2 linked regions of the Pelodiscus sinensis genome follow. The protein of the gene in region 1 purifies or fractionates together with the protein of each later gene. This does not show direct contact. Links are inferred from orthologs where the notes say so. Each region holds a gene or a part of one and is shown in the gene's direction. Other genes may lie near its edges.

Region 1 (7,538 bases):
GGCTCTGTGAGAGAATGGGAGCTTGGGTGCAGGAGCAGGCTCAAGACTGGGACAAGGGGTTAGAGTGCAGGAGAGAACTGATGGCTGGGACAGAGGGTTTGGAGTGAGTGTCCAGGTTCTGGAAGGGGGTGGTGGTGAGGGAGGGTGAGAGAGGTGAAGGCTCTGGCTGGATGTATGTCGCTTACTTCAGGTGACTCCCTTATTTCCAAGAATGCTCCTCCTTGCCACGGCCCAACAATGTGCTCAGAAGCTGCCAAGCTATGGCCAGGTGGCTTTGTGCAGTGTGCACTGCCCCTTTCCATAGGCACCACGCCCACAGCTCCCATTGGCCGGCATTGCCAGTCAATGAGAGCTGCTGGAGCAGATGCATGCGGACTCATAGTTTCCATGGTCATCTGCCAGTAGGCCTCAGGGCCTTCCAACCAACCTGGCACCTTAGTTCCCCTCCACAGTGGTGCTCACAATTCCAGCCCAATGAGTGGGGGAGGAGGGGAGCTGAAATTCAGAACTTCCAGACCATGAAACAAAGACTTGCCATGGGCCAGATCAGATTAAGCAGGGACCCAGATCTGGCCCACAGACTGGAGGTATCCCATCCCTATATTATGATAAACATTCACTCCAGAGCTTAATTTTGAAGGTGCATTTGGTAACCAATGAATACCTGTAGTTACCTATGACCACTACTATCTATTTCCTCTCAACTGCTTCTTCATTGTTGGCTCTAAAATGTGCTGATATTGCATATTTCTTGCTTCATCACCATGATCAGCCTGAACTCTGCTCCGGCCCAACCACAATAATGAGTTGTTATGATTATTACATAACTGCTGTGTGAAGAATCCAGCATGCACAGTGGAAGCAATGTATTTTGGAGAGGGGAGGAGGGAACTGGGTTGGCACAGCCATCCCTGCAAATTAAACTCAGAGTAAATAAACCCATTAAACAATATTCAATCATAGCTGCAAAGCAATGAGCAATCCTAGTAAAGGTCACTACATCTCACTGCAAATGCAATTTAATTTGTTAGAAACTCTGCTGATTTGATTTGGACTTTGCCTAAAATGTGTTTCTACTACACATAGAATAAAATAACTTTAAATATTAATATAGTATTTTAATACAAATTTAAATGTTTTTTTATGTCTTCCTCCAGTAATTTCAAAGCATTTCACAAAAATCCTGCAAATACCTACAGGCACAGGGAGACTCTCCTGCACATTTACACCTTTGCAGAAGTGTTGGCATCATTAGGGCCATTATTGAATTAAGTTTCAGATCACCCGAGACAAAAACTTAAAAAAACAACAAATGGTCTGGTAGCACTTTATAGACTAACAAAACATGAAGATGGCATCATGAGCTTTTGTGGGCACAGCCTACTTCTTCAGATGACCGGAGTTTTGAGTTTAGAATGTACAGACCCAAAATAAATAGGGAAGAAGGGAGAAGGGAAAAAAGTGGAAGGGGCGGGAAACAAGAGCAGAGGGTATGTAAATATTAAAGGGAAAACCAAACAGGCAAAACTGACATAGTTCAGTGTGATTTAACCCATTTTACTAATGGAGGAACAGAAGCACCAATTGTGTCATGGAAGCCTCATGGCTAGGGCCCTACCAAAATTGGTGGTTTATTTTGGCCAATTTCATGGCCATAGGATTTTTTTAAATAGTAAATGTCATGATTTCAGCTATTTAAACATGAAATTTCATGGTATTCTAATTGTAGGGGTCTTGAACCTAAAAGGAGTTATGGGGTGGAGGGTCATAAGATTTTTGTAGGAGAAATTGCAGTACTGCTACCCTTACTTCTGCACGGCTGCTGTGAGTGGGAGGGGCAGGGAGATTAGCAAGGATCCTGGTGCCCACAGCAGGGGTCCAGCTCCACACACATTTGCCAGCACCAGTGGGGAAAGCAGAACAAAGCGGCCTCTGCTCTCTGAGGTCTCTTGATGCACCACTCCAGGAACAGTGGGCAGATCACCCCTGCTTTCACCTGTGAGAAGTGGCACGACATGGCCAGGGGAGCAAAATGAGCTGAGGCTGTGTTGTTCTGCTTCCCCCTCGGTCCCCCAGCCCTGCTCGTCCCCTAGGCTGCATCAGATGCAGGAAGATATCAGGAGAGAGGTGGAGCAAGGGCAGGAAGAGGCAGGACCTGAGATGGAGAGGGGCTGTACTGGCCCTTTCCTGGGCTGGGTGGATGTCACATGACCAGTGGCTCCTCAGGTCTTCCCTCTCCAGTTGCCTCTGTATGACAGGATGCTGCCTTCAGAGCTGGACACCCAGCTCACAGCTGCCATTCTCTGGTCACCTACCCAGCTGTGAAGGCAGCACAGAAGTAATGGTGGCAATACCATGATCCCCTCTAAAATAACCTTGAAAGCCCATAGTGGCTTTTGGGTCTAGACCAGGGGTGCCCAAACTTTTTTCAAAGAGGGCCAGATTTGATGAAGTGAACAAGCGTGAGGGCCGACCATTTTGCCTGACATTCTTTGAACCATTAAAATTAAATGCAAATTAACTATTTTATGCAAAGTTTATTGCAAACGGCATACTTTTCATTTCGTTACATGGATGACAAATCTAAACAGGTGTTAAATCACTCTGGCTTTCATATCTGAAGGCCAGATGAAAAAAAATCCAGGAAGCTGAAATATATGTCAGGAACATTGTAAAGTATATTACATATTATTGGTAATAAAGGTTGTCTGTCAACTTTTAAGTTCAAAAAATATGATCAGAAACATAACACCAAGTATACATGTTGTGTCCAAATATATTTATAACTGATTTAGACCAACTGACATTAACTGAGATTTTACAATGTATTCATCTCAATACATATGGATTCGTTGGGGGCCATAAAAGATAGATATTGCCAAATTACCTGTGGGGCCGTATGAAACCGGAACACGGGCCGCAATTGGCCCGCGGGCCGGACTTTGGACATGCCTGGTCTAGACTCTCAATTTGAGAAAATCTGGTCTCTGCTATGAAATCAGTACATTATAGAGTAAAAGTGACTTACGAAACGAGCATGGAACAATCCCAAACTGACATTGAAAACAAATATACTGATATATCATGCGTGAGTATCAAGCTTCTTGCTTTATGGATCTGAGACCTGGGCTACCTACTCGTGCCAAGAGAAAAAATTGATTAGTTTCCACCTTTGCTGCCTTTGCGGAATCATGAATATTAAGTGGCAAGACAAAGTTTCAGATGTAGATGACCTATCAAGACTTGGCATATCCAGTCTCATAGCGATCCTTAACAACAGAAGACTCTGATGGCTTGGCCATCATATATATAGTAGCCCAGTGTCTGTGCGTCTGTAACGCTGACGTACACAGCCACGCTCCCTGGCCGTGTATGTCAGCACCCTGCCCCCCTTTCCCTCCCTCCGTGGCGCGCTGCGCCACTCAGCTGGGTCCCGGCAGGGGAGCAAGCGGCAGCAAGCAGCCGTTTGGGGTCCGTGCTCTCATGGGGAACTCCGTGGGGAGCACAGACCCCAAACGGCCGCTTACCGCCACTTGCTCCCCCACCAGGGCACAGCTCCCAGCTGAGCGCACCAGGGAGGGAGGGGAAGGGGGCGGGGCTGGATGGAAGGGGGGCAGGAAGCAGAGCTGGGGGGGGATAGGGGGCTGTGGGGTTGAAGGAGAGGATGGGGGGGCGGAGGAAGGGGGGCGGGAAGCAGTGCTGGCAGGGGGTGGTGTCCGGGGGCCGTGGGGCTGGCCAGCAGGAAGAGGGGGTGGTAAGCAGAGCTGGGGAGGATTGGGGGCTGTGGGGCTGGACAGGAGGAGTGGGGGACGGAGGAAGGGGGGGGCAGGAAGCAAAGACCTGGCGAGGGTGGGTGCAGCCACTGGCCGCAGCCAGACTCCTTCTGGCTGTGCCCCCGGCAGGCAGACCAGAAGCTCCCAGTTTGGAGACGGCCACAATTGGCACTTGAAGCCTCTGGTCCTGTGCAATAGCTGGGAGGGGGGGCGTGACCACAGGGCTCCCAAAGCCAATTGTGCACCGCCTCTCAGTCACTCCCCCCGCCCCTGCCAGGCTTCCCTCCCGCACCCAGCCGGAAATTCACAAAATACTGGACATTGCACAACTCTGGTATTTTCTGATTTTTTTTCTACTGGACAGATGGTGCAAATACTAGAAGTGAGTCTGGCTCACAAAAGCTCATCACCTAATAAACCATCTTATTAGTCTTTAAAGTGCTGCACAGTCCTGTTTCATGGATTGTTATAGTTATGGGTTGTCCCTTATTCTCGATTGTACTGCTCACGCAGGGGGGATACTGGGCTTGCTCTGACTGACTGGGGCCAAGGCGCACGTGGAGGGAACCTGCGGCCGGCCCCCTCGAACACTCCATCGCTTTGCAACGGCGCGCGCACCTGCCGGCTTCCAAGCTATTCCCCTGCTCCCGCTCCCGCCCCCTCCCGGCGGAAGGATCTCGTGAGTGCTAGACGCTGGGTGAAGCGAACCCGCTCTTCCTAGCAAAGGTTCCGGCCGCCGCGCGGCGACCATTAAGTATTCGTGCGCCGGCCGAGCTTCTTGAGAAGGGACGGCGGCCATTTTGTTCGGCTTCGGGTGTCTGCTGCGAGGGGCCGGCCAGAGGCGGGAGATTCGGGTGCGGGCGCTGCGGTGCCGCTGGGAGGCCATGGCGGACATTGACAAGCTCAACATCGACAGCATCATCCAACGGCTGCTGGAGGGTGAGGAAGCGGGCGGGCCCGGGGGGGGGGGCGGTTCCAGGAGGGAAGCGCTCGGCTGCAGAGGGAGGCTCGCGGGGATGCCGGGGGGGGCGGCCCGGGCGGGGAGGGGGCCTGTGGCCTGAGCCCGCTGCTCGGCCCCCCTCGAGCAGCGTCCGCGGGGCTTTGCCGTGCCCCGGTGACCGGCCCTTCGCCTGCGTGGAGGTTCCCCGCACCGCGCCTGCCGGGCTGCAACGCCGCTGCCTCGGCTGGAGCTGCTGCCTGCAGCGGGTCCCCCCCCACCCGCGCGTGGCAACCGTAGGGCGATTGGGGGGGGGGTGAGGCAGCTACTTGTCCAGGGTCCTGTCTCCCGCTCCCTGCCGCGCACGTGCCGAGTGAAGGGACGCTTGGCTGTGCGTGGAAATGCAACTCCTCGAAAGGTCAGAGGCCGAGCATGTTGTGGGAGGCTTTAGAAAGATGGGGGGGAGGGGGAAGTGTCCTGCTTTTTGGCCCTTCAGGTGGGTCTCGTCTGTAATTGAGCCAGAGTAACTCGTTATCTGTGGGAATGCAGGTCTCGGTGGGTGTAAGAATAGGAGTTTTAGTTCATCCACACTCGTTTTTGACTTTTTTTTTTTTTAAGTGGAAGGGGGTGGTTTTGCTCTGAGGATAAGGTCCTTCTAAGCTTATGGAAAAGATTTGTCTTATTGTCTATCTGTAATGCTTTGGAGTGGGAGAGGATAGGTAGGTGCACTCAGTGTCTAGTCTTTTGTCATGGGGTTTTATTGTTTTTCTGTTTGGACGGAATCAGGTTAAAATAGTTTTATTGATCTTTGCAAATAGCCAATGACATTCTCCTTGGAGCAGGTAGCAAAATTAAATAAGAATAGGGTTTATCCAGCTTGTCTCAGGACCTTCTATGTACTCCGATGTCTCATCTGAATTTACCCTGGAAGAGCTTGTTCAGGATTTTTTTTCCCTCCCATTTAGCGCAAAGTAACCTAGGATTCTGCTGAACCAGATATTAGAGAAATGACTTTCATCTTTTTTTTTCCCTTGTAAGGTTTTTTGAACATATTGGATAATGAAAGGCCAGGAGAAAGTATCATCGTTATCCCTACAGAAATTAAGATTTACAAATCTAGTGGATTTGATTTGGGATTGTGCCAAATATATATGTACAGAGAGAGCATATTGTGTCTTGGTTTTTCCTCTTTGTGCTACTGTTTAGGTGTAAAATATATATACACCTAAACAGTTTATATATATATATAAATAAATAAAGGTTTGGATGTGTCTGCAATGGGATTGTTTCTCAGAAAACATTCAGAAAAGACAAAATCACCGGGAAAGTGAAAGGGACCTGCACTCTTCTCCCCCCTCCCCCAAACTGCCCAAGCCCCAGCCACCCCAGATACCCTTTAGAGAGGGCAGGGGGGGTTAACCCCCCCCCCCCCAAACTTGCACAGGAATATTGCTGGCTATTCCCCTTCCTCAGGGAGTGGGGAAAGTGCACAGTTTGCTGCATTGTTCACTCTGGCTGTGGAGTACAGGGGGGCAGACTAACCTGGACCTGCCCTAGCCAACTGGATATATACCCCTCTTCTGGCTGTGCCCGCTGGAGCAGTCATGAAGAGGTGCTTTTCATCTGACCCCCAAGCTGCTGCACTTCCTCTCCCCCCCCCCCCCCCATACACACACACACACACAGCCAGGGCAGTCTGCATACTGACTGCCTCGTTCCCAGCCCACCCAGAGCAGTGATTTAAATGAAGAAAAAACAAAAATTGACTTAAGGACTCAATTAACATTGGGTAAATCTTCTAGTATACTATATATGACTTGAGATTTTTTTTTTTAAGTTGGTTGGGAATGTGACAGCTGCCACCTTTAAATGCTACATAAATAGGACTTTAAAGGACTCACTAACAAGATACTCACAGGATGTCTGTCACTGTACTTAGAACTACAAATTAGCAGTAGTAACTAATGTGGCATTTAATTGATGCAAAAGCTTTTACAGTGAAATTTTACATAAAAATCCTCTTGAATTTCTTGATTTTAATTTGTTTGGGCAGGTATTTTCTAGCTTTAAATCATTTGATGCTAGTTAAACATCCTAACAACTGTTGTTCCTACTTCATGTGTTCCTCCCTTTTGTGTTTGAGAGATTGCAGTCAGTTGCTATATATAACTGAGTTTTGTTAGAGCCCTGTGTCATGAATATAGCTGTTTGTATTTTACTTCAATTTTTAAAAAAGGCTTACTTGCCTTCAAGTAAATAAGCATTAAATTGTGATTATGTAGCTTAATATATAAAATCCACTATACTATTTTTGTTTTACAACTAATCAATCCTTTTTCAAAACTTGGGAATACTGACATTCCCATTGACTATAGGTAACATTTTAAAAGTTCATATGCATCTGTTCATGTTTGCTAAAACGCATACAAAATGTCTGATCAGATTATTCAAATAGCTGAAATTCTCTTAAACTAGGTTTCATCCCGGAAGCCTCACCACCATTCTTTTTTCTTCCTCTCAGAAAATGTTTTTTTGGGTTTCTTTGAACAAGCCTGAGAAACTTAAGCCCAAATGATTTCTATTTATAACTCCTCTAAAAGGAGGCCTTATGTAAAGGTCCTCTTCGGCCATACTGCAACGATAGCACCATGACTAGGGTTAAATGTTGATTGATTAACTTCGAATGGGGGGTCCATAAGGGTGCTTCTGCCTTTGAAGTATAGAAGCAGCCCCACTTCAAAGGCAAAAGCCCTGTGGAGAGCTTGGGGTCAGCTGGGGACTCCCCTGCTGACCCTGGGCTCTATGCGGCACTGCCGCTTTGAAACATG
Region 2 (7,077 bases), on another chromosome or scaffold:
CAGTACAAGAGTCCCCGTATATCAGATAGACCCTGCCTCCAATTCTTGGGGCATATGACAGCCAGCGCAGAGGTGAAATGTGGTATGGAGACCAAACACAGAGACACTAGACAAATCTGTGTCACTGCCCATGATGGTTTAAAACTCCCTAAACTGGTGGCAAAATCCAGCAAATGTTTGCCAACTTTTTATAAACTTTTCTGTTGTTACTTCTCACCACTAACATCACTTACCAGTGGGGTGTACATGTAAATGACCTTACGACACATGGCAAATGGTAATTCACAGTTATCCCTCCAAATCAACTTGAGATCAGGGTGGTCAAGAATACCTGGGTCCATTTTCTCTCACTGGTCAAAGGAACACACACACGTGTCCTACTGACAACATAACTTCTATGTAAATCAAAGAGGAAAAAACAAGAACAAATCATGTCAAACCAATCTGATAGCTTTCTTTGATAGGATAACGAATCTTGTGGATAAGGGAGAAGCAGTGGATGTGGTATACCTAGACTTTAGTAAGGCATTTGATATGGTCTCACATGATATTCTTATCAAACTAGGCAAATGCAACTTAGATGAGGCTACTATAAGGTGGGTGCATAACTGGCTGGATAACCATACTCAGAGGGTGCGTCTTGACTGGCAAGATTTTGTGCAAACGCATTCGCTTTTGTGCAAAAACTTGCCACCTGTCTACACTGGCCGCGAGAATTTGCACAAGAGCACTGAGGTTCTAATGTTAGAATTCAGTGCTTCTGGCACAAATACTTTGACGCTCCCGCTCAGGGATAAGCCCTCTTGTGCAAGAATAATTGCGCAAGAGGGCCAGTGTAGACAGGCATCTTCATTTTTTGCGCAAGAAAGCCCGATGGCTAAAATGGCCACCGGAGCATTCTTGCACAAAAGCGCGTCTATACTGGGCACGGACGCTTTTGCGCAAAAGCACTTTTTGCACAAAAGCATCCGTGCCAACCTAAATGCTCTTTTGTGGAAACACTTTTAACGGAAAAACTTTTCCGTTAAAAGTATTTCCGCAAAATCATGTCAGTCTAGACGCAGCCAGAGAGTAGTTATTAATGGTTCACAATCCTGCTGGAAAGGTATAACAAGTGGGGTTACGCAGGGGTCTGTTTTGGGACCGGCTCTCTTCAATATCTTCATCAATGATTTAGATATTGTCATAAAAAGTACGCTTATTAAGTTTGCAGATGATACCAACCTGTGAGGGGTTGCGACTAATCTGGAGGATAGAGTTATAATTCAAAATGATCTGGACAAATTGGAGAAATGGTCTGAGGTAAACAGGATGAAGTTTAATAAAGACAAATGCAAAGTGCTCCACTTAGGAAGGAACAATCAGTTTCACACATACAGAATGGGAAGCGACTGTCCAGAAAGGAGTACTGCAGAAAGGGATCTAGGGGTTATAGTGGACCCACAAGCTGAATATGAGTCAGCAGTGTGATGCTGTTGCAAAAAAAGCAAACATGATTCTGGGATGCATTAACAGGTGTGTTGTGAGCAAGACACGAGAAGTCATTCTTTCACTCCACTCTGCACTAGTTAGGCTTCAGTTGGAGTACTGTGTCCAGTTCTGGGCACCGCATTTCAAGAAAGATATGGAGAAATTGGAGAGGGTCCAGGGAAGAGCAACAAGAATCATTAAAGGTCTAGTGAACATGACCTGTGAAGGAAGGCTGAAAAATTTGGATTTGTTTAGTTTAGAAAAGAGAAGATTGAGGGGGGAATATGATAGCAGATTTCAGGTATCTAAAAGGGTGTCATAAGGAGGAAGGAGAAAACTTGTTCATCTTGGCCTCTGAGGATAAAACAAGAAACAATGGGCTTAAACTGCAGCAAGGGAAGTTTAGCTTGGACATTAGGAAAAAGTTCCTAACTGTCAGGGTGGTCAAACACTGGAATAAATTGCCCAGGGAGGTTGTGGAATCTCCATCTCTGGAGATATTTAAGAGTAGGTTAGATAAATGTCTATCAGGGATGGTCTTCTAGACAGTACTTGGTCCTGCCATGAGGGCAGGGGACTGGACTCGATGACCCCTCAAGGTCCTTTCCAGTCCTAGTATTCTATGATTCTATGATTCTTTGTTGCTTTTCTGTGAGCCTCCATTTCTCAGATAGGGTGAAAGAGTGTCTAAAAGATGTCCCCACTTCAGATGCAGCCCATACAGTGCTAACCTGGCACATGGCCCCAGTCTTCCAGCCAGAGGCATGAGCGATGCCTATAGGTGGGTGTAGTTGTCTCTAGCACACTATGTCCAAAGTCTTAGGCTGTCTACACACTGGGCCACTTATTCCGGAAAAGCAGCCGCTTTTCTGGAATAACTTGAAAGCTGTCTACACTGGCCGCTTGCTTTTCCGGAAAAGCAATGACGATCTACTGTAAAATTGTCAGTGATTTTCTGGAAAAACTATGCTGCTCCCGTTCGGGCAAAAGTCCTTTTCCAGAAAAACTATTCCGGAAAAGGGCCAATGTAGACAGCACAGTAGTCTTTTCCGCAAAAAAGCCCAGATTGCGAAAATGACGATCGGGGCTTTTTTCCGGAAAAGCGCGTCTACATTTGCCACGGACGCTTTTCCGGAAAAAGTGCTTTTCCGGAAAAGCATCCTGCCAATGTAGACGCTCTTTTCCCGGAAATACTTATAACGGAAAACTGTTCCGTTTTAAGCATTTCCGGAAAAGGGTGCCAATGTAGACACAGCCTTATAGACAAGACCCAAATTTTTCAGCAAGGTTCTTGGGTTTGCAGCAGGGCAGTGCTGGCAGGCAGACACAAGCAGTGTCTGAGACACTGGCATTGGATAAGCCAGTAATGCATTATGTCAGGAAATGTTGGGACAATGTCCTTAGCTTGGGGCAGGGGAGGTGGCCTGCAGGCAAGAAAATGAAAACACATTTCTCTCAAAAAGGAAACTCCAAAATTTTTCATTTTGGGAAGATCGTACTGTTCCAGTTACATAAGAACATAAGAACGGCCGTACTGGGTCAGACCAAAGGTCCTTCTAGCCCAGTATCCTGTCTGCTGACAGTGGCCAGCACCACGTGCCCCAGAGAGGGTGGACCGAAGACACGATCAAGCGATTTGTCTTCTGCCATCTCTCTCCAGCCTCTGACAAACAGAGGCCAAGGACACCATTTTATCCCCTGGCTAATAGCCCTTTATGGACCTAACCTCCATGAAATTATCTAGCTTCTCTTTAAACTCTGTTATAGTCCTAGCCTTCACAGCCTCCTCTGGCAAGGAGTTCCACAGGTTGACTACACGCTGTGTAAAGAAGAACTTTCTTTTATCAGTTCAACTCCCTACCACCACGCTCCCTCCAAAAACCACATGGAGTAGCTGGCTGCCCCCAACTTATTCCTCTGGAAACCCAGGCTCTCCAGCAGCCTGACAGGTGAGCTGACAGAAAACCAACCAGGTTCCCCTAGAAACCTACCTGCCATTCATAGGGTGGATGAATTTCCTGTCCTGTTAGGGGGAGTATTATGGGATTTCACCCTGGGAGGAGTGAAGGCACAACACTTCTCACTTGCAAGAGTGCACTCTCCAGAGACTGAGGAGTCAGGGGTGCAGCTCACCACGGCATCGGACAAAACTGCTGGTCTTAAAAAGTTTAAGAAACACGGACCTAGCGGCTACCAGAGCCTTCTGTTGGCAGTAAGTGGAGACATTCAGTGCTAAGCTGCAAATGACAAAATGATTCCTTAGGGCAGTGGGTCTCAAGGTGTGGTCTGCTAACCCATCTTGCAGGGGGCCGTGGGGCTCACCTCCGCAGTGGGGAGCCGTCACCAGCGCTCCACCCCCCGCCGCCCAGGTTGGAGTGCGGGGGAGGAGTCTTGCCCCGCTGCTCCCATTGGCCGGGAATTAGGTTTTTCGTGGGGTACCCAAGGCAGCTCAGCCAGCTTCAAAGGGGTCGCAGGCGGGAAAGTGAGGCAGCGCACTTCGTGCGGGGAGGGCGTGCGTTACGCAGAGCTGCCGTTGTGGCAGTGTGACGAGCCGGCGCATTGTCATCACCATATGCAGGTCTAGGCTGCCCCTCAGGCGGGTGGCGGTCGGGCGCTGACTCATGCTCCGCGGCTAGGGGGAGGGGAGCTCGGATAACGTGCGCCGCCTCCTAGTGGGGGCGGGGCGTGGTACTAGCCGCGCGCCGTGACAGGTCAGACCGGACACCGTGAGCGTCCCTGATTGCCCAGCGAGAGACAGTCACGTGTCCGCGCCGGCGCGCGAGAGTGGCAGTTGCGGTCTGCGCTGGGAGCGGCGGGAAGATGGCGGCCCCCGCCGGCTGGGCCTCGCTCTGTGAGAAGTTCCGCAGCTCGCTGAGCCTCTCCAGCGTGGAGTCCAAGAAGGACCCGGAGAACGAGCCCTATCGCTCCAAGTACGCCGCCCGGGAGCTGCTGGAGGAGATCCGGCAGCTGCTGGGCTCGGAGGAGTCGGCCGAGGGCGCCCGTGCGGGAGAGGCGGCGGCGCTGCGGGCCATGCGCCGGGCGGTGGTGGAGTACGAGCTGGGGGTGAACCACACCGAGACCGAGGAGCTCTCTGCGGGCGAGGAGCACCTGCTGAAGTGCACTCGGCTGCTGGAGCGCCACCGCCTCTCCCGGGACTGCGTCTCCCTCTACATCCAGGCCCAGGTAGGGAGCGGCTGCCACCCTGGAACCCGCCTGATTGACGAGCTGCTGCCACAGCGGGAGGGGAGGGCGCCCTGAGGATGTGATTTTCTCTCTTGAGCCTAATGGTGATAGAGATGTAGCCGTGTTAGTGTGATGTAGCTGAAACAAAATACAGGACTATGTAGCACTTCAAAGACTAACAAGGGGTGTGTCTAGACTACATGCCTCCTTCGACGGAGGCATGTAGATTAGCCAGATCGGAAGAGGGAAATGAAGCCGCGATTAAAATAATCGCGGCTTCATTTAAATTTAAATGGCTGCCCCGATCTGCCGATCAGCTGTTTGTCGGCAGATCGGGGGAGTCTGGACGCGATGCCCCGACAAAGAAGCCTTTCTTCATCGACACAGGTAAGCCTGGTTTCACGAGGCTTACCTGTGTCGATGAAGAAAGGCTTCTTTGTCGGGGCATCGCGTCCAGACTCCCCCGATCTGCCGACAAACAGCTGATCGGCAGATCGGGGCAGCCATTTAAATTTAAATGAAGCCGCGATTATTTTAATCGCGGCTTCATTTCCCTCTTCCGATCTGGCTAATCTACATGCCTCCGTCGAAGGAGGCATGTAGTCTAGACACACCCAAGATGGTTTATTCGATGATGAGCTTTTGTGGGCCAGACGAAAGCTCATCATCTAATAAACCATTTTGTTAGTCTTTAAAGTGCTACATAGTCCTGTATTTTGTTTGAGCCTAATGTTGGCTTATCTCCAGATGGGGGAATCTCCAGTCACTCTAGGACAGGGTAATATTTGGAATCGGTTAGGCCCGATCCCCATTTGCAGACTTGGGGTGTTCCTGACCTTTGGCAGGATAACAACATAATCCTAGCCAGGCCGTGGCACATCTTACTTGTGATTGGTAAGGTGATGTAAGTGGGAATATGAGTTATTGAAATACTGGAATCTTAAAAGTTTCAGAGGAGGAGCGGAGTTAGTCTGTAACAGGAAAAATTTAAACAACAAATAGACTAGTAATACCTTAGGATATTTCTACACTTGCTCCCTAGTCCGAACTAGGGATGCAAATGTAGCATACCAAAGTTAATAATGAAGTGCGGGATTTAAATATCCTGCGCTTGATTGGCATATTCGCGTTCGGTCACCAATTTAAAAATCCACTAGTCCAAATTAACTCGCCGCGTGTAGATGCGGTATTCCGAAGGAAACCCTTTCCCTCAGATTGCACAAGGAGTAACAGTTAATCTGAAAGAAGGGGTTTCCTTCAGAATACCGCATCTACACATGGTGAGTTAATTCGGACTAGTGGATTTTTAAAATGGCTACCGGACGCGAATATGATAATCCCGTGCTTCATTAGCAACTTTGGTATGCTACATTTGCATCCCTAGTTCGGACTAGGGAGCAAGTGTAGACATATCCTTAAAGATTAACAAAACATGTAGATGGTATGAGCTTTTGTGGGGGCAACCCACTTGGTTGAACATGCAATGTACTGCATTCTGCCATACCGAGTGGAAATATATCAACTACACAAAAACTCTCACAGATCCAAACAGACATCATCTTTCTTTCCAAGTGCAAACAGATGAACATCGTACCTAAGGGACTGAGGGTGAAAAACCCACTGCAATCTACATATCCCACAGACTACAGTTAGCGATTATGCCACACTCTTGCAAAGAAATTCAGGAACCACCTTATCAGCATTTTATTCAACAGACAGAAGAAAATCAAGGAGGAGCTCTCAACATTAGAAACTATCCTAGAAAACCAAGCTTCCATACAGACTTCATGTTTTCCAGACTTTACTAAAATTCAGTAAACCACGTACAAGGATCACTTCATCTCCCTTTGGAATAAAAAGGACAATAAACTATCCAAACTCCTACATGCTTCAAGATCTCTCATTCCAGATACTTTCAGTTCACCTAGCAATATTGTCAACGTATCCAACCTCTCTCTTAGGACAGATTCCTCCACGGGGCTATCTTGAGGACTCTCTTTCTGCCCCATCACCCCTACAAATATAATTCAGTTCTGTGGAGATCAGGAAGTCTATTTTCACTGCCTCCACCTAAAGGAATATTTCCAACACACTGATGTACAATACACTGACCTTTCTGCTCTCCCCTGCCAATCCTACAAGAGGAAGGCTTCTGTGTGGACCCCTACTAACGGTTGTAATGAGAGTCTTGACTTCTACAACAACTGCTTCCACAAACGTGCTCAAACTGCTGACACATGCTGTTGTTTGCTGACTATAACATACAGCCTCAGTCATGCAGAACACAATGCTATACGCAGCCTCAAACAATTCTAACATCATAATCAAAGAGGCTGACAAAGGGGGCACTGTAGTTGTCATGAACAGAACAGATTATGAACAGGAGGTGACCAGACAACTCACCAACACCAGATTCTACAAGCC

Evidence for each region. The genes of interacting proteins can lie anywhere in the genome.
Region 2: the proteins of PPP1CC (region 1) and KIFBP purify together in Homo sapiens (affinity purification with mass spectrometry; 3 studies listed by BioGRID and IntAct, counting the BioPlex papers as one, with this or other methods). This does not show direct contact. The link is inferred for Pelodiscus sinensis from reciprocal best matches to the Homo sapiens genes PPP1CC and KIFBP.

What each region holds. Positions count from the first base shown.
Region 1 is NC_134725.1:34,180,796-34,188,333, reverse strand, and holds the start of PPP1CC (serine/threonine-protein phosphatase PP1-gamma catalytic subunit), read left to right. Parts: upstream 1-4,528; 5' UTR 4,529-4,657; coding exon 4,658-4,712; intron 4,713-7,538. UniProt on the Homo sapiens protein: Protein phosphatase that associates with over 200 regulatory proteins to form highly specific holoenzymes which dephosphorylate hundreds of biological targets.
Region 2 is NC_134718.1:28,668,141-28,675,217, forward strand, and holds the start of KIFBP (KIF-binding protein), read left to right. Parts: upstream 1-3,976; 5' UTR 3,977-4,290; coding exon 4,291-4,653; intron 4,654-7,077. UniProt on the Homo sapiens protein: Activator of KIF1B plus-end-directed microtubule motor activity. Required for organization of axonal microtubules, and axonal outgrowth and maintenance during peripheral and central nervous system development.